2 linked regions of the Pelodiscus sinensis genome follow. The protein of the gene in region 1 interacts with the protein of each later gene in a biochemical or structural test. Links are inferred from orthologs where the notes say so. Each region holds a gene or a part of one and is shown in the gene's direction. Other genes may lie near its edges.

Region 1 (10,959 bases):
TATGGACAGAATTTGGAAAATATTTTCCACGGCAAACCAATTTATGATTTTCAGGAGACTTGCATATGGTAGGTGTTTTCTATTTGCCAGTCCTCTTCAGAGAGAGCTACAGTAGGTTCTGGTCAGTATTCCACATGCTAATTATTTTTTTAAAGCTCCTTCTTTTAGAAAAGGCAGGCTTTGTGTTTATCACATCCCTGCAATTTCAGATTTGGGAGTCTTCAAGAGTCAGGGCAGCAGAGAGACATGTTTTGACTTAGAATGAAAAATCTGAAGTTATTTTTATATTTATTATTGTGCATTTATATCATAACAGTAAGGATGCTGTTATGCATTTGTGGGCCCATTGTGCTTGGTCTTTGTATAATACATAGGAAAACATAACCCGTCTCAAATTATTTACCTCCAACTAGGTTGATCTTTTTATTCCATCTCAACAAATAAAAAATAAAGGTGAAGTCATAACTTAAAAGGGCATTATAATGTATGTGAACACAAATACTAGAAATAGATCCATGTCTATCCTGCACTGGCTGATAAAGCGAGTTTAGAGTCTCAAATATTACTGTAAAAACGTCATTATTGGTCTCTTCGTTTATCATGGCAATAATTTCATATCGAGAAATTATATATATATAACTATATATTTCTAGTTGCCAGAGTTGTATATTCAATTTGGAATTTGAAAATGAAGCCAAAAATGCTTTATGTAGCTTCATCAGTAATAAGGATTGGCTAGCATTGGACAGATGTAAATGATTGTCTTAATGGAATTGTACAACTGTAATTAAGGGCAAAACAGAGTATGGTAAATGTAATTTAGCTAAAAAATTCTGTTGATGATAGGTCTGAATAAAATTCAGCTTCTGCTCTCTCATAGCCTTGTGTGGGCTCAGGGGTTAACATGAGTAAAAACATTAGAGTCATTTAAAGTCATTAAAGTAAACAGAGACCATTCTGCATGTACACAGGGAGTAGGTCAATTGAACAAGAAAGTGGCATTTTTCAGTCACTTTTCTGATCTTAACCACATCTTCTATTTCTCTTAAGGTTTATGGTGCCTAATTGAGTAGGTCTGATATTCTGTTCTTTAGATAGCAATCATACACATACACAATAGCAGGCCTGTATTCAGGAATTTCTGTGTGGGGGGGGGGTTGAGTCATGGGAGGCGCTGGTGGCTGCCCCACCCCTGCAACCCAGGCCCATCCCCATCCCAGTCCCCATCCCCACTCTTGGTGGCGGGTGGGGGAGACAAATCAGCCCCAGCCTTCTCCCAGCATCTAGCGCGTAGGGGAGGGAGGTTGGGGCACTGCGCCGCTTCTGCTTTCCTCCAGCCAGCCAGAGCATTGGGGAGGGATGCTGGGGCAATGTACTGCCCCAGCCTCATGCTTACTTGGAGGACCATGGGTGGGGAAGGGTTGATGCGATCACATCCTTCATACCCCCCCCGTGTACTGTACTGTGCTGTCAGCACAGCCACGATTCCCTGCATGGTAACCTGTCGGGAGGGAGGAAGTGGAGGGGACCCCAGTAGCATTCTCCCAGCAAGCAGCCTCTGCCACTCGCACACACCTCTCACAAACTCCATCCTCCTCTAGCGAGCAGGGATAGAAGTTCTCTCTCTGTGAGATGCCGCCAGTGCTGGACCCGGTGTGTGCAGGACATGGAAGGAAGCCGAGCTGCCCTGTCTCCTCCTGCCACCCGCAGGCTCCTGGCCTGGCCAGCACCTTCCCATGCTTGCTTGTCCCCAGGCTGTGGGTGTAGCAATGCTCCCCTGGGACATCCGTCCCCCTGCAGGAAAGTGCCTGTTGTCAAGACAACATATAGCCTTGCTCGAAGCAAATCGCTATTGTCTGAACCAAGAACTTCAGTGTCAGCTCAGCGATTAGGGCTAGGCTTCATATACAGGGTCTCCTGGGATGACTGCCCTTGTAACTTTTCTTCACAGCTGAGCCAGCTGTGAGTGTGATGTGTGCACCACCTCCCATGCCATCTTCCCGACTCCCGCCGGGATCTGCAGGAGGAAACATACTCAGGAAGATCTAATGAGGTAGCAGATGGCCTGCCTCGAGCCCCTCATCCAGGGGCTTGAAGAGGAGTGCCAGGAGCAGGCTACTGACCAGGAGCAGTGGAAGGCTCCCTGGAACCAGCTGGCACACCAGCAGGAGGCCATGTGCTCCTCCCTCACTGCATTGATGGAGCACATGGCCTTGTGCATGGAGCAGGCCACCAACCATCTCCCCTTGCCTTTCCCTCCTAGCTCCCCCCCAGGAGCCACCAGGGTCCCAGAACACGGGGCAGTGGGACCTCTAAGGCACACAAAGCCTCCCAAGCTACCCAGTCAGTCCAGGCCCCATCCCTGAGATCGCCTCCCCCTCCTGCATTCCAGATTCTTTCCCCCAGTTCCTCCCCTGTTTTATATCCCCCAAATAAACAGTCTTGGTTTTTTTTTAAAGGCTTTTTTATTTGCTCTGCAGGGGCAGGGGAGGTGGGAAGGGGTGGGGGTCCGGGAGGAAAAGCACAGAGAGGCAACGTAAGGGGTCCTGTGTGGACAGGCACAAGGGATAGTCTCACAGCTGACCTTGGCTGAAACTCTCCCTCAAGGCCTCCCTGATGAGCAAAGCCCCTTTATGTGCTTGTCAAATGGCTCTGGTGTCCAGCTGCTTGTATGCCCCGGCCATCCGTGCAGCCTCTGCCCCCAACCTGGCAGCAAAGTCTCCCCTTTGCTCTCACAGAGGTAGTGGGCACACAGCAGGCCACCACCACAAAGGGGATGTTATGCTTTCTGAGTTCCAGACGGGTGAGGAGACTCCAGAACCTCCCCTTTAAATGGCTAAACACACACTCCACAACTATGCAGCACCTCCTCAGCCTGGCAGAGTCATCTTGGTGGGTCCCAGGCTGCCTGTGTAGGGCTTCATAAGTCAGGGGAGCAAGGGGAAGGCTGCGTTGCCCAGGATGCTGTTGCCTGAGGGCAGGGGCAAGCCATTTGCAGTGCTCCAGGAAGGTGGCCTTCCACATGTGTGGAGTTCTGGAGCCACTGCTTGTCATCCCATTGCTGCAGGATGATGCAGTCCCATGAGACTGAACTGGTCTCCCTCCATCAGAAGCATCATTCAATGGTGTCCAGGGGATTGAGGATCATTTGCAGCAATAGGAGTGCCAGGACCTGGGTGATGAGGGCCTCTGGTCCGGACTGGTAGTCATCCTGCTGGAGCAGCAAGTGGGCAGTCTGGATGAACTGCACCATGCGGTGCAGCACAAGGCCCGTGAGCCTAGCACTGCTTTGCAGCAGCTCTGACTCCATGTTGGAAGTGCTGTGGTGTCCACCAGGGCAACCAGAGGACACGGCATCCGTTTTGTGTCCTGTGGAGGAGTGGCGTGTGAGATGCAGCCATGGAGAGGAGGTCCTGATAGCATCTACCACAGCTTGCCTGACCAAGCAGCCACACATGCCTTCCCAGGAGTGCTTCCAGGGGCTCTAAGTCCAAGGCGGGCTCCAATCAGTGTCAATGCGCTATTTCGAAATCATTCTGAGTAATTTCGATGCTCCCTGTAGTGGGGACGCACTATTTCGATTTTGTTGTTTTGGGAGTTATTATTTCTATGTTACTTATTTCAAAATTATTTCCTAGTGTAGACATGCCTCTTGTGAGCCTGGGATACTATTTCCCAGTATTCACAGCCAAGCTCATTGGTGGCATCTTTTGTGCCAAAGCCCAAACTACTTTGTCTCCTTTTTGCTAGTATTTTGTTTAAAGACTTTTCTATGTGTGGACATGAAAGATTCCTCAACATATTTTACTCTAATATCTGTAGCCAAAAATAATCTCAATGCTATCGGTCAGTTCGTCAGCTACATGCTGGCCTCTGCCCCAGAGATGTTTGACCTCAGTGGTTCTATAAAGTACATAGATAGCATTATACGATGTTACCCTATTATCTCTCTACGCTGTCTTTAGAATGAAAGCCTTTTAGGTCAGGAACTTGTTTTATAGTCACCTATGGTGTGCCATGAACATCTATCACACTATGTAAATATTAAGGAACTTTGGGGAGAAAGGCCCAAAATAAGTTTAAGAAATCATTAGGGGGCTGTGCCTCCTGCTCTCTACACTTACCAATCTCCCCATCTATCCACTGCAGCTGGATTGTGGCCTATCCTCTTACTGTGCTGCAGCAGGAAGGGGGCTGCTACCAGCCCTTCCTGTGACCAGATGGGGACTGGACTGCAGGGTCTGCCCCAAGATCAGGGCTGGGGACAGGAGCAATGGCCAGATGGGGGCTGGGCTCCGACTGGGCAGTGTCTGGCCTGGGGGAGGAGGCAGGAGCAGTCGGGGGTAGAGTGTCTGGCCAGGGGAAGGAGGTGAGACAGCTGGCCGGGGGTACATGAGGCACTGGGATTGCAGGGGCTGGGCATGAGGGGGCACTTACTTTTTTTCATGCCACCAAGCACCAGGGGCTTTCCCTGCTGCTCCAATGGGGAAGCTGCCTCTGGCTCCACTTCTACTTCCAGGTCTGGGGCCCTGATTCTGTGTGAACCATTGCCTGCCTTGGGCGGCTTCCTGCCTGGCGCTCCAGCCTCGTGCTGCCCTCTCCCCCACCCCCAGGATTATAGCGCTAGCACTGGCTTCCTGTAGGGCAGGAGAGGAAGAGAAAGATCCAAGACTCTGCATTGGATCTGGCATGTGGGGAAGCGCGTGTGCTGCTGGCTCTGTAATCTTGTGAGGGGGGCACATGAGGCAGGAGTGCCAGGTAGGCAGTGGCCCAGATCCGGAAGTAGAAGTGAGGCCAGAGGTGGCTACTGCCACCACCCCCTAACTCTCCTATAGGGAAGCCAGGGGCCAGTGGGGAGCCCAGGGCATCCCTGAGGAGGGGCTGAAGGGAACCCAGACTCTAACTGCAGAGTCTGGGGGAGCAGGGTGCAGTAGAAGGGCCGATAGCAGCCCCCCTCGTGCTGCAGCACATGATTACATCACTCTGTCGTCCCACAGGAAAATTATTTTACATAGAGAGAGATTATTAGTGTAATGTTTTGAGTGTAAGATTCAATACATGATTGGTTTTAGCTATTTTTGTTAAGGTGCCCAGAGAGTGGATGTCTAGGAATGAATATATCACATTTATAGGTCTGATTTAATGGCCATAAGTCTTTCAAATCTGCAGTCATTTCTATCATTTCTCTGGATGTGAGAGCATCAGGAATGATATTTTGTTATTTCTGCTGTTGATTCATTAGGCTTTGCATAGGATTCCACATCTCTGTGGTGCAGAGGTGAATGTAGGGCAGGTGATCTTAATAATCCTCTTTCTTGTCCATTTCTTTCTCTCTGTTCAGAAGATAGTTTTGATTTAAGGTTCTACTTCTGGGAAGCTCCCCAGCTCCTATGCCCAGGGCACAGTGGGCATTGCCTCTGAGCAGTAGCCAGTTTGCATTTGATGTGGTGCTTGGCTCCACAGCCTGATTATAGCTAAATCACAAGTGATGGGGGTAGGGATTACAATAATATGGGACTATTCTAGACGCTAATAAGATTAGAGAGGCGGGGACAGAAACCTAGAGGGCAGAGGGCAGCGCCAGGCTCGGAGCATGGCAGCAGCAAAGCGGCACTGGGTAACTGAGCTGTCCGTAGGATATGGCATAACACTGCTCTGGAAGGAGGGAGGAGACAGACCCCAGTTACTAGCAGTGGGTGGGGAGAGGAAGAGCCCAGAGGCCCAGTGATGGAGGATGGGAAAGTGACACCCTCTTGGAAACCCTGTGAGGGGCAGGGTGTAGAGCTGAGAGAAAGGCCCCAAATGCCCAGCGATGTGGGGAGGGAGGACCTGAGAGGTCTAAAGATGGGGGGCCAGAGAGAGGTGCCTAGAGAAATGGGGGGGGCATAGAGAGTCACCCAAGTGCCTAGAGGGATGGGGGCATCACAGAGATGAGGGGTCAGAGACTCGCAGGTGCCCAGAGAGATGGGGGGTCAGAGACTCGCAGGTGCCCAGAGAGATGGGGGGGGTTGGAGGCCCCAGGGTGCCCAGCGAGATGGGGGGTCGGAGGCCCCAGGGTGCGAGGGGAGGGGGTCAGGGTGGCCCCAGGGTGCCCAGCGGGAGGGGGGGTTGGAGGCCCCAGGGTGCGAGGGGAGGAGGTCAGGGTGGCCCCAGGGTGCCCCGCGGGAGGGGGTCGGAGGCCCCAGGGTGCGAGGGGAGGGGGTCGGAGGCCCCAGGGTGCCCCGCGGGAGGGGGTCGGTGGCCCCAGGGTGCGAGGGGAGGGGGTCGGAGGCCCCAGGGTGCCCCGCGGGAGGGGGTCGGAGGCCCCAGGGTGCGAGGGGAGGGGGTCAGGGTGGCCCCAGGGTGCCCCGCGGGAGGGGGGGTCGGAGGCCCCAGGGTGCGAGGGGAGGGGGGGTCGGAGGCCCCAGGGTGCGAGGGGAGGCGGCCGGGCGAGACGGCCAGGTGAGCGGGCAGGGCGTGACCCCCGGCGGGGGGGGCAGCGCGGGGAGGCGCGGCAGAGCAGAGGGAGCTGGGGAGCGCGGCGGGCGGCGGGCGGAGGCGGGAAGAGGCAGCGCGGCGGGCGGCGGCGCAGGGCGGCAGATGCCGGGGAGAGCGCTTTGCTGGTTGCATGCAGCGGCTGGAGAGGCTCTGCCGGCGGCGGGCCCGCGGGGGGGCGGCGCGATGAAGTACCAGAAATACCTGACGGTGCTGCAGATGGCCATAGGGGTGACCGCCTCCAACCGGGGCAGCCTGATGCCCCTGAAGAGGAAGCTGTGGTGAGTGGGGCCGGGCGGAGGGGAAGGGCTCGTGCCGGACCGGGCGCGCGGCGCTGCCCACATTGGGGGTCCGTGGGGACAAACCGACACGTACTGCAGGGCCCGGAATGTGTCACGGGAAGCCCCGGGCGCAGGTCGCGGCGAATCGTGCGCCGAGCGGGTTCGGGCAGATCAGCCCCTGTGCTCAGCCTCGTGCTGGGGGAGCTGCCCGCTCGCCCGCTGCAGCCTCCTCTCAGGAAAACGCCTTGGCTTAAGGAGCTCCCAGCCGCCAGCCTCTCCCTGGGCCAGCAGTGTGATTCGCACTCTCAGAAGTGTTTTCAGAAAGAAACAACAAACATTTGTCAAAATAATGGCAGCTCCTTCGGAAAGGTGCAGGGGTAATTACAAGGAAGGTCTATTATAGCTACAACAACACCGCATATCATAGGCATGGCAGTCTGATCCTATATTCCCAATGATTGTTTGATATTTGCTTCTTTGATCCGTAGTAGGAATAAAGCTTCACTTCCAAATGTCAGCCCTTTATTTTTCTTGGCAAGTGTGAATCTCAAAAAGGGACATGCAGTATCTAAATATAATATTATACTTTTAATTTTAAAATATACTTATTTTTCTTTTGACACATTTCCAGTGGTTTTTGGGCTTACTGATTGGTGAACTAGAATTGTTTTCTAGGTGAACTGACAGTATGTTAAGAAAAAAATAGAGCACTGTAAAACTGCAATGTGGGTGAGTAGGACACCAGGAAGCATAAAGCATTGCAATACCCAGTTACTCTTTGTCTTGTAAAGGACCACTGTTAGCATGATTGAAGCAGCAGGATGCATATCATCAGAAAAAATAATGTTAAGAAGAAAATCTACCTAACTGAAAAGCCAAATTTTCTAAGAAAAAAATACCTTGGATCTTGAATTAAATTTGTACCTTAAGAAAAAAATCTTTGTAAGATTTAAGTTGAGATGTGAGCAGCAATGTTCTTATGGTTTCCTATCATCATGGCCCTGGGTCACGGTGAAAGTGTAAAATGTCTGAGAAGGAAGTGCTAAGACATACTGTTTAACAATAAAGTAGCTTCAAAATGAATTGTTTTCATGAACAGCCTCTCATGACAGCAATACATATACTATAGTGACTATGGATCTTGGCATTATTTTATTTTGTCCTTTATTCTCACACGATCATCCAGAACAGACAATGTCAAGGAATGAGGTAAAACTGGGAAGCATAGTAACATTTCTATAGGCCAACTTCATTAAACTAACATTTTACGTGGTTCAAGTTTTCTTTAACAACTGTTTTCCAAAGCACACATTGATATATTTTTTCATAGTTTATCATTTTACTTCATACTGCAGAAAGTGTAAAATTTAAAAAACTAATTTAGCTTTCTGGCATTTTAAAAAGTCGCAGAGTATATAAATTATGCTTTCACATATAAAACTAATAATATTTCTAGCATAAACTTATTATAATGTTTACAGAAAATAAAATTATTTTAGTAACTTAATTTGGCAAAAACATATTCTTGTTAAGTGTAACATACAAAATCAGATATTTTCCTTAAAAAAATATACTTACACATGGTTATCTTTTACACTATATATAGTGGCTTGGGTTTGATTGTCAGAAAGATAAAGTGCAACTACCTATACTCTTCTCTTGTCAATGCTATTCCTTTTTACTTTGCTGACAGTACATATAGTATACAGTATTGTATACTTCCATTTTCTTCAGTGAGAATAAAATCAACCCATATTTCCTAGTTTTATGGAGAAATTTCCCTACTTTCAGAGAGACAAGCAAGACACTATAGTAGGTCCTGAATGAAGAACAAATGTTTGTTGAAGGAAAAGTATGCTGTTCATCAATGTCATATTTGTGTGAGGAGTTGAGTTGTTGATGGTCTGGGTCAAAGGATCATGATTTTTTTTCTATGTAAGAATTCATGCCAGTTACTTAAATCTTTATATTCTACATCTTTTGATTATTTCTTCAAATTCTTATCTCCCCATCAGCATGCGACATAGTAATGTAGGTTTCAACTTTGCACTAGGATCCTGAGTGAGTTCCATATGAGACTGTCTGTGTGGCTATGTGTCGGGGTTGAAATAGTAATTTACACTACATTTAAAAGTGTTCCTAAGGGATATATTTGTACTTAAGATTGTATTGTCATTTTTTTCAAATCATATGTTATATAAAGCTTAATTTTTGTGAAATAAATATATTAATTTTATTATGTAAATCAATGCAATATATTGCAAAAAGTACATTCCATTACCATATATCAATAGTCTCTAGCCTGGTGTACAAAAAGAGAATGTATAAATCGCCTTTAATATGATCAAAAGGTAGCATAGTCTTCGTTTATCAAAGTAAGAATTTCAGTATTCTTTTTTGCCCAGTCAGGTTCAAAAGTTGTTTTATATATATGTTAGTACATACTGTAAGAGCAAGCAAAATGAATCATTTTATAAAAAAGATTTAAAATATTTATCTTTAGTTGGTGGAGATAATCCACCTGAATCCTACTGAATGAAAATGAAAAAGGTAGCAGCAATTGTTTATTCCTTTATCGAGCATCTGCCACTCTAATTTCCTCCCACTCCCCCCCTCATAAAAAATTATAAGTCCTATAGCTGTGCTTTTTGTGTTTCACAGAACAAGATCAAAACAAAAAAAGATGGATGTTGGCTCTCTAATGGGATGGGTAATCAGCTATAGAAGCTTTGATTCCCTAGGTTGTCAGTTCAAACCCAATCTATGTTACCATTGTCTGTCAGCTTTTTCCATCTGATACCTATTCTATAGGCTATATATTAAGTGAGTCGGATGGTCTCAGTCTTATTCCCATGTTGCAAAACTACCATCATAATTGGCAGTAATTAGCAGAGAGGCTAAAAATTTACTAATCTCTTTCCTAAGAGAGGTCCCTCTGTGTAGGTCAGGTCTGAGGCAGTGTGGGAAGTTTGCAGTACTGTGTTTCACCTGGTTCGTGAATAGAAGCCTTTACTTCTCAAGTTGTCAGCTGGCACATTTTATGAGCATGATATACACTTTCTATAAAATAAACTATTATTTGCTACAGCACACTTAAATTATGGTTGCAAATGTGAACTTTTAAGAACTTCCCAGCAGAACTACTGTTTTCAAATTTGCAGTAGGATTGTAGATTTGAAGAATTGTGAATCCTTTATATTGACATTGAACCGTGGCTATAGCAGCTGTTAAAAAACAGAAGTAAGAATTTGAGATGTGGTAATCACACCCAGAAAATTGTCAGTCTATTTAACCTTGGTAAGACAATCCAGGATTTTTACTGTCAATGTCAGCAGATAGTTGGGTGTTTTTTAAGATAGAGTACAGTATGAATTAACCCAGCTGCAAAATTACTTAAGGAAAATAAACTATTGACATGTAAAAATCTTAAAACAATAGGCCAAAGTAAATATTTACTGAAATCTAAATACCTGCAAGTAAAATGTTTTGTAAAAGAGCTAAGTCATGCAATTAATACATGTAATTTCCTACCAAACTGGGAGTAAGGTTTTAATGTCTAGACCAGTGTTTCCCAACCAGGGTTCCGTGGAACCCTGGGGTTCCACAGACCATTGTCAGAGGTTCCGCGAGAAATCGTGGAATAAATAAATAATTTTTTTCCTTACAATGTAAGCTGACATTATATATAACAGCTCTTTACAAATAAATTTTCTTGACAATAATTTAGCAGTAATTGAATTGCGCTCCCCACTGTCAACTTTTTCTGGCCAAGCAAACGTTTTCAAAGGGGTTCCCCGGGATATGAAAAATTATTTTAGGGCTTCTTCCATAGGAAAAAGGTTGGGAATCACTGGTCTAAACTTTAAAAGACTTTCAATGGAGAAACAAGTTTTATAAGAAATATACGTGAAATCAGGACAAGATTTTAGTGAGAGAAATAAATCACAGTCTGTGAGAATTCTAAAAGCGGTGGAACTTCTGTTGACTTCAATGGTGCAGAAATGAACCCTTTGTGAGAAGGTTCAGAAAACAAGATATAAGATTCTGTCGATAGTATTGAGATTATTATGGCAATCATAAAGGCCTGGTCTACACTATGACCTTACTCTGAAATTAGCCCCCCAAGGTTGATTTTCTAAGTGATGCGTCCACACTATCAAGCTTGTTATTCCGGAGTAAGGGGCCATGGAATTCAACTTTTGTA
Region 2 (10,534 bases), on another chromosome or scaffold:
GGCCCAAGGAGCAGGACAGAGGATCCAGATGGGCTCCAGAGCTGAGCATGCTCATTCGCTCAGGGCTCTGGAGCTCATAGCAGTGCCCAGCGTCTGTCAGTCCCCCATGGGCTCTTCTCTTCATGCAGGAGACTGTTAAGGGAAGGTTTGTTCTGCGCTCTGGGGAGCTCGCATAGGCCCGATCTGGACAGATGGGTCACATTTGCTATACGCTGCTGCCATTCGCAGACACAAACACACATAAGGTGCCCCACCATGTTCTTAAAGGACAGCTTCCATTAGCCACAACACAAATGCTAACAATGCAACCTTGGCTTGGACATTAGGAAAATCTTCCTGCCTTTCGGAGGTGAAACACTGGAATACATTGCCCAGGGGGGTTGTGGAATCTCCTTCCCTGGAGATATTTCAGAGCAGGTTGGACAGACACCTGCCAGGGAGGGTCTAGATGGTGCTTGGTCCTGCCAAGAGGGCAGGGGATGGGACTTGATGACCGCTTAAGGTCCTTCCAGTTCTAGTGTTCCAGGGTTGAAACAGCATCCAAATTCAGTTCTAAGCTCAGAAGTTTTACACTAACTGATCCAACAATTTCTCCAGGTTTCTTTGTGCATATTTTGTCACCACTCTATGGGATACCCGCAGAGTGTAAATGCCACCTGTTAGCTCTGCAACCTCTGCTGCATCCAGCTGTTACAGGCCGAGAGAAGCATGCGATTCGCACATCTGGAGCCAGTGGGTGCCCACTGTGGTCGCCTGGCTGCTGTGTGTAGCTGCCTGCCTAGCCTGGCACTTCTCTGCATGCAAGCAGCTCACTCCGTGTGAGCACCAAGCAGGCAGGGCACGACACAGACACCCCGTCCGCTACAGCCCGGCCCTAACTGGCTGCATGTGCAGGCAGGAGCCGGCAAGAGCAGCTTTCTCGGTGTGGAAGTGGCTGCTTTCATAACCCTCTTTCTGCTGTCTGCTCGCTAGGGCTGAGACCGTGTCAGAGCCTGTTTCTGCGGTTACGGACACTGGTGCACTTACAGGCGTCCTGACGGGGCCTCGGCCTGGTCTGGGAGAGACCTGGGCCCTGTTCCGAGCTGGGCCGGAGGAGCCCTTCTCTCAGGCTGCGTCCAGACGGCGTTGCTTCCTCGGGATACTGGAAGAATCCCCCAAAAGCAACATTGTGTCCAAGGAACGCGTCCACTCTTCACATCCTTTTCGAAAGAACGGACGTGCTCTTTCGCCATCCCTGTAAACCGCGTTCTGCGAGGAATAAGGGAGGGCTCAAAAGCCCTGGTTCCCGAAATTTGGCACCGTGTAGACTCGCCAAATTTCAAAAAAGCCTCTTTCGAAATTGAATCGAGAAAAGATACGCAACTAGCGCAAATCGCCTCTCTCCGATGGAAGAGTGCAGCCTGGGCATCGCTGCAGGCAGCTGCTCTGCCCAGCAGGCCGGTGAGAGCCGCCGGCAGGGTCGGGCGTGCTCGGGGGCAGTGTCCAGCAATACTAACGGCCCTCGCGGGGGGGCGCGCAGGCGTGAGGCCTCAGCCTCCCCAGCTGGCGCCAGAAGAGGGGAGTCCCCACTAGCCCGGGGAGGCTGAGAGGCCGTAGCTCAGCCCGGGAGTTTCTGCTTCCCCGTCAGTACGTGTGGCCAGGCGGTGACCCAAGGGGCGCGGCAGACGGTGGGTGTGACCGTCTCCAAGGCGACTGAGCTTTGCTTGTCTAGCACCCTGACGTCTCTGGTCTCCATGGCGCTGCACAGGCCCAGCCGGGGCCCGCGGAGCTGCAGGAGGGCACTTGCCAGGCCTGGGGCGTCCTCTGGGTCACGCTGCTGCAGCTGTGGCCCCACCATTCGCCAGGCCGCATGGGGCTGGGCCCGGCCATCCTGCCACAGCCTCCCCCTTACACCCGTCCCTGCCCTGCCCGCCAGGCCTGGGGAGCCAGCACCTCAAGCTCCTCGCTGCCCCAGCTGCTGAGCCCCGGGCCGGCGGTGGGACCCCGGGGGGTAGCAGAGCCCCAGGCCAGTGGTGGGACCCCGGGGGGTAGCAGAGCCCCAGGCCGGCGGTGGGACCCTGGGGGGTAGCAGAGCCCCGGGCCGGCGGTGGGACCCTGGGGGGCAGCAGAGCCCCGGGCCGGCGGTGGGACCCTGGGGGGCAGCAGAGCCCCGGGCCGGCGGTGGGACCCCGGGGGGCAGCAGAGCCCCGGGCCGGCGGTGGGACCCTGGGGGGTAGCAGAGCCCCGGGCCGGCGGTGGGACCCTGGGGGGTAGCAGAGCCCCGGGCTGGCGGTGGGACCCTGGGGGGCAGCAGAGCCCCGGGCCGGCGGTGGGACCCTGGGGGGCAGCAGAGCCCCAGGCCGGCGGTGGGACCCCGGGGGGCAGCAGAGCCCCAGGCCGGCGGTGGGACCCTGGGGGGTAGCAGAGCCCCGGGCCGGCGGTGGGACCCTGGGGGGCAGCAGAGCCCCGGGCCGGCGGTGGGACCCCGGGGGGCAGCAGAGCCCCGGGCCGGCGGTGGGACCCTGGGGGGTAGCAGAGCCCCGGGCCGGCGGTGGGACCCTGGGGGGTAGCAGAGCCCCGGGCTGGCGGTGGGACCCTGGGGGGCAGCAGAGCCCCAGGCCGGCGGTGGGACCCCGGGGGGCAGCAGAGCCCCAGGCCGGCGGTGGGACCCCGGGGGGCAGCAGAGCCCCAGGCCGGCGGTGGGACCCTGGGGGGTAGCAGAGCCCCGGGCCGGCGGTGGGACCCTGGGGGGCAGCAGAGCCCCAGGCCGGCGGTGGGACCCCGGGGGGCAGCAGAGCCCCAGGCCGGCGGTGGGACCCTGGGGGGCAGCAGAGCCCCAGGCCAGTGGTGGGACCCCGGGGGGCAGCAGAGCCCCGGGCCGGCGGTGGGACCCCGGGGGGCAGCAGAGCCCCGGGCCGGCGGTGGGACCCCGGGGGGCAGCAGAGCCCCGGGCCGGCGGTGGGACCCTGGGGGGTAGCAGAGCCCCAGGCCAGTGGTGGGACCCCGGGGGGCAGCAGAGCCCCGGGCCGGCGGTGGGACCCCGGGGGGCAGCAGAGCCCCGGGCCGGCGGTGGGACCCCGGGGGGCAGCAGAGCCCCGGGCCGGCGGTGGGACCCCGGGGGGTAGCAGAGCCCCGGGCCGGCGGTGGGACCCCGGGGGTAGCAGAGCCCCGGGCCGGCGGTGGGACCCCGGGGGTAGCAGAGCCCCGGGCCGGCGGTGGGACCCCGGGGGGTAGCAGAGCCCCGGGCCGGCGGTGGGACCCCGGGGGGTAGCAGAGCCCCGGGCCGGCGGTGGGACCCCGGGGGTAGCAGAGCCCCGGGCCGGCGGTGGGACCCCGGGGGTAGCAGAGCCCCGGGCTGGCGGTGGGACCCCGGGGGGCAGCAGAGCCCCGGGCTGGCGGTGGGACCCTGGGGGGGCAGCAGAGCCCCGGGCTGGCGGTGGGACCCTGGGGGGCAGCAGAGCCCCGGGCTGGCGGTGGGACCCCGGGGGGTAGCAGAGCCCCGGGCCGGCGGTGGGACCCCGGGGGGTAGCAGAGCCCCGGGCCAGTGATGGGACCCTGGGGGGCAGCAGAGCCCCGGGCCGGCGGTGGGACCCTGGGGGGCAGCAGAGCCCCGGGCCAGTGGTGGGACCCTGGGGGGCAGCAGAGCCCTGGGCTGGCGGTGGGACCCCGGGGGTAGCAGAGCCCCAGGCCGGCGGTGGGACCCCGGGGGTAGCAGAGCCCCGGGCCGGCGGTGGGACCCCGGGGGGCAGCAGAGCCCCAGGCCGGCGGTGGGACCCCGGGGGGCAGCAGAGCCCCGGGCCGGCGGTGGGACCCCGGGGGTAGCAGAGCCCCGGGCTGGCGGTGGGACCCTGGGGGGTAGCAGAGCCCCAGGCCGGCGGTGGGACCCCGGGGGTAGCAGAGCCCTGGGCCGGCGGTGGGACCCCGGGGGTAGCAGAGCCCCGGGCCGGTGGTGGGACCCCGGGGGTAGCAGAGCCCCGGGCCGGCGGTGGGACCCCGGGGGTAGCAGAGCCCCGGGCTGGCGGTGGGACCCTGGGGGGTAGCAGAGCCCCGGGCTGGCGGTGGGACCCTGGGGGGTAGCAGAGCCCCGGGTCGGCGGTGGGACCCTGGAGGTAGCAGAGCCCCGGGCCGGCGGTGGGACCCCGGGGAGTAGCAGAGCCCTGGGCCGGTGGTGGGACCCCGGGGGGTAGCAGAGCCCCGGGCCGGTGGTGGGACCCCGGGGGGTAGCAGAGCCCCAGGCCGGCGGTGGGACCCCGGGGGGCAGCAGAGCCCCAGGCCGGCGGTGGGACCCTGGGGGGTAGCAGAGCCCCGGGCCGGTGGTGGGACCCCGGGGGGCAGCAGAGCCCAGGCCGGCGGTGGGACCCTGGGGGGTAGCAGAGCCCTGGGTCGGCGGTGGGACCCCGGGGGGCAGCAGAGCCCAGGCCGGCGGTGGGACCCTGGGGGGTAGCAGAGCCCCGGGCCGGTGGTGGGACCCCGGGGGGCAGCAGAGCCCCAGGCTGGCGGTGGGACCCTGGGGGGTAGCAGAGCCCCGGGCCGGTGGTGGGACCCCGGGGGGCAGCAGAGCCCCAGGCCGGCGGTGGGACCCTGGGGGGTAGCAGAGCCGTGGGCCGGCGGTGGGACCCTGGGGGTGGCAAAGCTAGTGGGGCCAGCGGGACCCTGGATGTTGATGGCGGGGCAGACTCCCAGGCATGGGGAAGCTGGTGCGATCGCCCCGCCCCTCCCTTCCCACACCTCTCTGCTGCTGTCCCAGTTGGCGAGAGGCAGGGCGGGCATGGGGGGGGGGGCTCTGATTCCAGACACGTGTCACAAGTGGCCACTGGCCGAATGCCTGGGCTGGTGCTCGGCTCTCTGGGAAGGACCCAGGTCCCGGCCCCTGCTCTGGCGTTCTCCCAGGAACTGCCCCGGGTCCACGCAGCCGTCCTGGCTGGCCTGAAGCCACAGCGAGGGGTGTGCAAATGCCTAGGTAGGCCGGGGGCCTGTGGGGCTGGTGAGGGCTCACGGGAGAGACCCGTTGCCCACTCTGCCCCAGGGCCCGCGGCTCTCCCTGGCCAGCTGGCGGCTCTCTAGGGCGCGTCCCCTCCGAAGCTGCATCGCTCCGATCCCGCTCGCGTCCCAGCAGAGCGCAGGCGTGCGCCCGGCGAGCTGGGCTGGGCAGGGAAGGGCCAGCGTCCTGCACCTGGGTTAGCGGCCGGCAGCCCCAAGGCGAAAGGCAGGGCGGCCCCAGTTCGCTCCGCCCCCTGCCCTGCCGGAGAGGTGCGGAGGGGAGGCTCTGAGCAGAGGCTGGGCTGAGTCAGGGCCTGGCACCGCTGTGCAGGGGAGGAGGCTGCTGTGGTGACAGCCACGAAAGCCCTCGTGCGCCGTGCTCGTTCTCAGGGACCTGCCCTAGCCTGTCCCCTCTGGCCGGCCTGCAGCAGCTCAGACCGGTTTGGGGCTCTCGGGGATGGGTGGGACCAGGCACAATGGGGACACCGTATCCCTGAGGCCTGATTCACACCCGGATGCTCTCAACAGCCAGCCATGGGACAGCCGAGGGCTGCTTGTGCTCTGTCAGCTGGGGCAGGGTGGGGCGCGGTGACAGCTCCCTGCTCTGCACACTGGGCTGTGCTCAGCAGGGGCTGCCCAGCGTGGTAAGGCCAAGAGCAGTGACAGCTGTGGAAAGCCCAGCCCTCCCACAGCAGTGACCCTGGGAGCACCATTCTACAGAGGGGGAAACTGAGGCACCGATGGCGTACGTGACATGGCCAAAATCACACTGTGGGGCTGTGGCAGAGACGGGCCTGGCGCCCAGACTCCTGCCCCAGCCCCTCAAGCTTCCTCCACCCACAGAGCCTGCTCCCTCCGCTGTCTCCCACTCGCTGGGGGGCTGGGGCGAAGCTGGGAAAAGCCTGTTCAGGACAATGGAGGGAGCTGTAAGGCAGCCCAGCTGTGTGCCTCCAGCAGCAGCCTCCCTCCACTGCAGGGGGAGCAGGAAGGCTGCGTGGGGAGGGAAGAGTCCTCGGAGGTGGTGAGAATGCAGAGCCCAGGAATCCTGGGGAACTGGTTGTACGGGGGGAGTGACACTCCGCCTCCTGAGAGGTGTATAACTCGTCCGGATGGTCCAGCCGCACAGCACTGCACCTCGGCTGCCAGGGACACCCGTCAGCTCCGTGCGGGCTCGTGCGAGGCAGGGCGCACGGCAAGATGGCTTCGATGGGGCTGCAGGTGCTGGGCATCACCCTCTCGGTCATTGGCTGGCTGGGCTCCATCCTGACCTGCGCGCTGCCCATGTGGCGGGTGACGGCCTTCATCGGGAACAACATCGTGGTGGCCCAGATCATCTGGGAGGGGCTGTGGATGAACTGCGTGGTGCAGAGCACGGGCCAGATGCAGTGCAAGGTCTACGACTCCATGCTGGCCCTGCCCCAGGACCTGCAGGCCGCCCGCGCCCTGGTGGTGATCGCCATCGTGCTGGCCGTGCTGGGCCTGCTCCTGGCCCTCGTGGGCGGGAAATGCACCAACTGCGTGGAGGACGCGTCTGCCAAAGCCAAGGTCACGATCGTCGCCGGGAGCATCTTCATCATCTCGGGCATCATGATCCTCATCCCCGTGTGCTGGTCGGCCAACAACATCATCCGCGACTTCTACAACCCGCTGGTCACCGAGGCGCAGAAGCGGGAGCTGGGGGCCTCGCTCTACATCGGCTGGGCTGGCTCCGCGCTCCTGCTCATTGGGGGGTCCCTGCTCTGCTGCAGCTGCCCCCCCAAGAATGAGAAGCCCTACTCTGCCAACTACACGGCGGCGCGCTCGGGGCCGGTCAGCAACTACGTCTAGGGACGGGCGGGCTCTGGGCCTCCCCAGCGCGGGGGCCCAGCTCCCCGAGAGACTCCTGCCCAGCCCCAGCCCGCTGCTCTGCCTGAGCCCAGCTCTCCCCCACTGCCCAGGGGCTGAACAGACAGAGCTTCCCGAAGGAGAAGGGGCCTTGGGAGGGGGCGCAGGCTCCTGAGCAGAAGCCCCGAGGTGCAGGACTGGCTGGCTGCTCAGACGCGCCCCCGGCACATCCCTGGCTGCTGAGCGGCTGCCAGGCCTGGCGCTAAGACTCTGCCCCTGCAGCGTGTGGCCAGGGCACTGAGAGCTCCTGGAATTGCTCCCAGCCCCCGGGCGAAGCCAGCTGGTGCTGTGAGCCCCTGCAGGCCTGCCCCCTGTGCCCGCTCGGGAAGGGGGGAGAGGCGTGCGGGGGCAGGGAGTAACAGACGTGGCAGGTCCGTGGTCACGCCCCGTGCTGGAGGGGCTGGGCAGGACAGGTCCCTGGGAGCAGAGCCCAGCCTCTCCGGAGGAAGGGGAAGCTGCAGCCAGGCTCAGGGGTTGTGCCTGAGGGGAGGCCTCCTTCCGGCGCCAGGCCTCGGGTCCGTCCGGGGGGCCTGGCGGAGGTCCCAGCGGGAGCTGGCTTAGGAGAGTGAAAGCGCTGGGCCCACGCAGGCGGTGTGGGGCTGGGTATGTGTGGGGTGGCGGTGTGCCAAGCTCTGGGCATGCTGCTGGGTTTCTGTGTGGGCCTGTCGTGCAGGCACCCGTCTCCCGCGCTCCCCAGGGCTCCGGCAAGCTCTGCTCGGGGGCAGTGTCACTCCGGACGTGGCTCGTGCCCCGTCCCCAGAGCTGAGCAGGCAGAGGACTCCCGGCTGCTTCTGCCCTCCCAGCTCCGAGCCAGACTGGAGAGCCCCACGTGGAAACGGGGCTCTGGCCTGCTCTTAGCACCCCCAGAGGCAGCGCGGGGCTCCGCCGGCCCTGCCCCGGGTTTGCAGTGCGCCACTCTCAGGCCCTGTTTGTTTAGCTGCACCTGTGGTTCCTGCGTGAGCCGGGCGGGGCGGGATGGCAGGGCCCAGCTGGGCAAACCGGTCTGGGAGGTGGGAGCAGGGCCAGGCAGGCTGAGCGAGAGCCGAAAGGGAAGGTGTTTCCTGGCGGCTCTCGGAGCCTGCGGCCGCCCACTGCCCCTCCGGCCGAGTCTGACCCGAGCAGGCTGGAGGCCGCCCAGAGCCCCGGGGGTGGGGGTATCACTGCAGCAGCCCCGGGCAGGTCCACCAGCCTCCTGCGGGCTCCCAGCAGACAGACTGGCCCAGGCAGCTCCCGGGTGGAGACCTGCCGGCTGCCCCAGCAGAGGGCGGGAGAGGGGGGAAGAGGGCAGGTGCCGGGGGGGGGGTGAGCCGGGAGGGGGCCGGGAGGGGGGTGCCTCCTGACTGGGCTGGGGGCTGTGCCGGGACCCTCCTGCCCGTGGGAAGTGTCCGTAGACGCCATTGGGATTTCAACATTAAACTGCAGCTGCTCCGAGCCTGCCGGGCCTGTCGCGTTTGCTTGGCTGCCCTGGGGGCACCCCTTCCCCCTCCCCCCTCCCCTCCCCGGAGCCCCCTCCACGCCGCCTGCAGCCCCACTCCCCCTCCGGACCCCACCCTGCCCCGCCTCCAGCCCCACACCCCCTCCGGACCCCACCCTGCCCCGCCTCCAGCCCCACACCCCCTCCGGACCCCACCCTGCCCCGCCTCCAGCCCCACGCCCCCTCCGGACCCCACCCTGCCCCGCCTCCAGCCCCACTCCCTTCCAGAGCCCCACCCTGCCCCGCCTCCAGCCCCACACCCCCTCCGGACCCCACCCTGCCCCGCCTCCAGCCCCACTCCCATTCCGGACCCCACCCTGCCCCGCCTCCAGCCCCACTCCCCTTCCAGAGCCTCACCCTGCCCCGCCTCCAGCCCCACTCCCCTTCCAGAGCCCCACCCTGCTCCGCCTCCAGCCCCACTCCCCTTCCAGAGCCCCACCCTGCTCTGCCTCCAGCCCCACACCCCCTCCAGACTCCACCCTGCGCCGCCTCAAGCCCCACACCCCCTCCGGACCCCACCCTGCCCCGCCTCCAGCCCCACACCCCCTCCGGACCCCACCCTGCCCCGCCTCCAGCCCCACACCCCCTCCGGACCCCACCCTGCCCCGCCTCCAGCCCCACACCCCCTCCGGACCCCACCCTGCACCGCCTCCAGCCCCACACCCCCTCCGGACCCAACCCTGCGCCGCCTCAAGCCCCACGCCCCCTCCGGACCCCCACCCTGCTCTGCCTCCAGCCCCACACCCCCTCCGGACCCCACCCTGCACCGCCTCAAGCCCCACGCCCCCTCCGGACCCCACCCTGCCCCGCCTCCAGCCCCACACTCCCTCCGGACCCCACCCTGTGCCGCCTCAAGCCCCACTCCGCTTCCAGAGCCCCACCCTGCTCCGCCTCCAGCCCCACACTCCCTCTGGACCCCCACCCTGCCCCGCCTCCAGCCCCACTCGCCTTCCAGAGCCCCACCCTGCTCCACCTCCAGCCCCACACTCCCTCTGGACCCCCCACCCTGCCCCGCCTCCAGCCCCACACCCCCTCCGGACCCCACCCTGCCCCGCCTCCAGCCCCACTCCCCTTCCAGAGCCCCACCCTGCCCCGCCTCCAGCCCCACTCCCCTTCCAGAGCCCCACCCTGCTCCGCCTCCAGCCCCACACCTCTGCCGGACCCCACCCTGCCCCGCCTCCAGCCCCACTCCCCTTCCAGAGCCCCACCCTGCTCCGCCTCCAGCCCCACACCTCTTCCGGACCCCACTCTGCTCCGCCTCCAGCCCCACTCCCCTTCCAGAGCCCCACCCTGCCCCGCCGACAGCCCCACTCCCCTTCCAGAGCCCCACCCTGCCCCGCCTCCAGCCCCACACCCCCTCCAGACCCCACCCTGCTCCGCCTCCAGCCCCACACTCCCTCTGGACCCCCACCCTGCCCCGCCTCCAGCCCCACTCCCCTTCCAGAGCCCCACCCTGCCCCGCCTCCAGCCCCACTCCCCTTCCAGAGCCCCACCCTGCTCCGCCTCCAGCCCCACACCCCTTCCGGACCCCACCCTGTCCCGCCTCCAGCCCCACTCCCCTTCCAGAGCCCCACCCTGCTCCGCCTCCAGCCCCACACCCCCTCCAGAGCCCCACCCTGCCCCGCCGACAGCCCCACTCCCCTTCCAGAGCCCCACCCTGCCCCGCCTCCAGCCCCATGCCCCCTCCAGACCCCACCCTGCTTCGCCTCCAGCCCCACACTCCCTCCAGACCCCACCCTGCTCCGCCTCCAGCCCCACACTCCCTCTGGACCCCCACCCTGCCCCGCCTCCAGCCCCACTCCCCTTCCAGAGCCCCACCCTGGCCCGCCTCCAGCCCCACACCCCCTCCGGACCCCACCCTGCCCCGCCTCCAGCCCCACGCTCCCTCCGGATCCCCACCCTGCGCCGCCTCCAGCCCCACGCTCCCTCCGGATCCCCACCCTGCCCCACCTCCAGCCCCACGCCCCCTCCGGACCCCACCCTGCCCCGCCTCCAGCCCCACGCCCCCTCTGGGCCCCACCCTGCCCCGCCTCTAGCCCCACGCCCCCTCCGGACCCCACCCTGCCCCGCCTCCAGCCCCACGCCCCCTCCGGACCCCACCCTGCCCCGCCTCCAGCCCCACGCCCCCTCCGGACCCCACCCTGCCCCACCTCCAGCCCCACACCCCCTCCGGACCCCACCCTGCCCCGCCTTCAGCCCCACGCCCCCTCCAGACCC

What was found.
Region 2: the proteins of TJP1 (region 1) and claudin-4-like form a complex in vitro, tested with the Homo sapiens proteins (2 studies listed by BioGRID and IntAct, with this or other methods). The link is inferred for Pelodiscus sinensis from reciprocal best matches to the Homo sapiens genes TJP1 and CLDN4.

What each region holds. Positions count from the first base shown.
Region 1 is NC_134724.1:44,961,953-44,972,911, reverse strand, and holds the start of TJP1 (tight junction protein 1), read left to right. Parts: upstream 1-6,611; 5' UTR 6,612-6,660; coding exon 6,661-6,755; intron 6,756-10,959. UniProt on the Homo sapiens protein: TJP1, TJP2, and TJP3 are closely related scaffolding proteins that link tight junction (TJ) transmembrane proteins such as claudins, junctional adhesion molecules, and occludin to the actin cytoskeleton.
Region 2 is NC_134731.1:19,102,122-19,112,655, forward strand, and holds claudin-4-like, read left to right. Parts: upstream 1-6,033; 5' UTR 6,034-6,156; coding exon 6,157-6,786; 3' UTR 6,787-8,149; downstream 8,150-10,534. UniProt on the Homo sapiens protein: Can associate with other claudins to regulate tight junction structural and functional strand dynamics.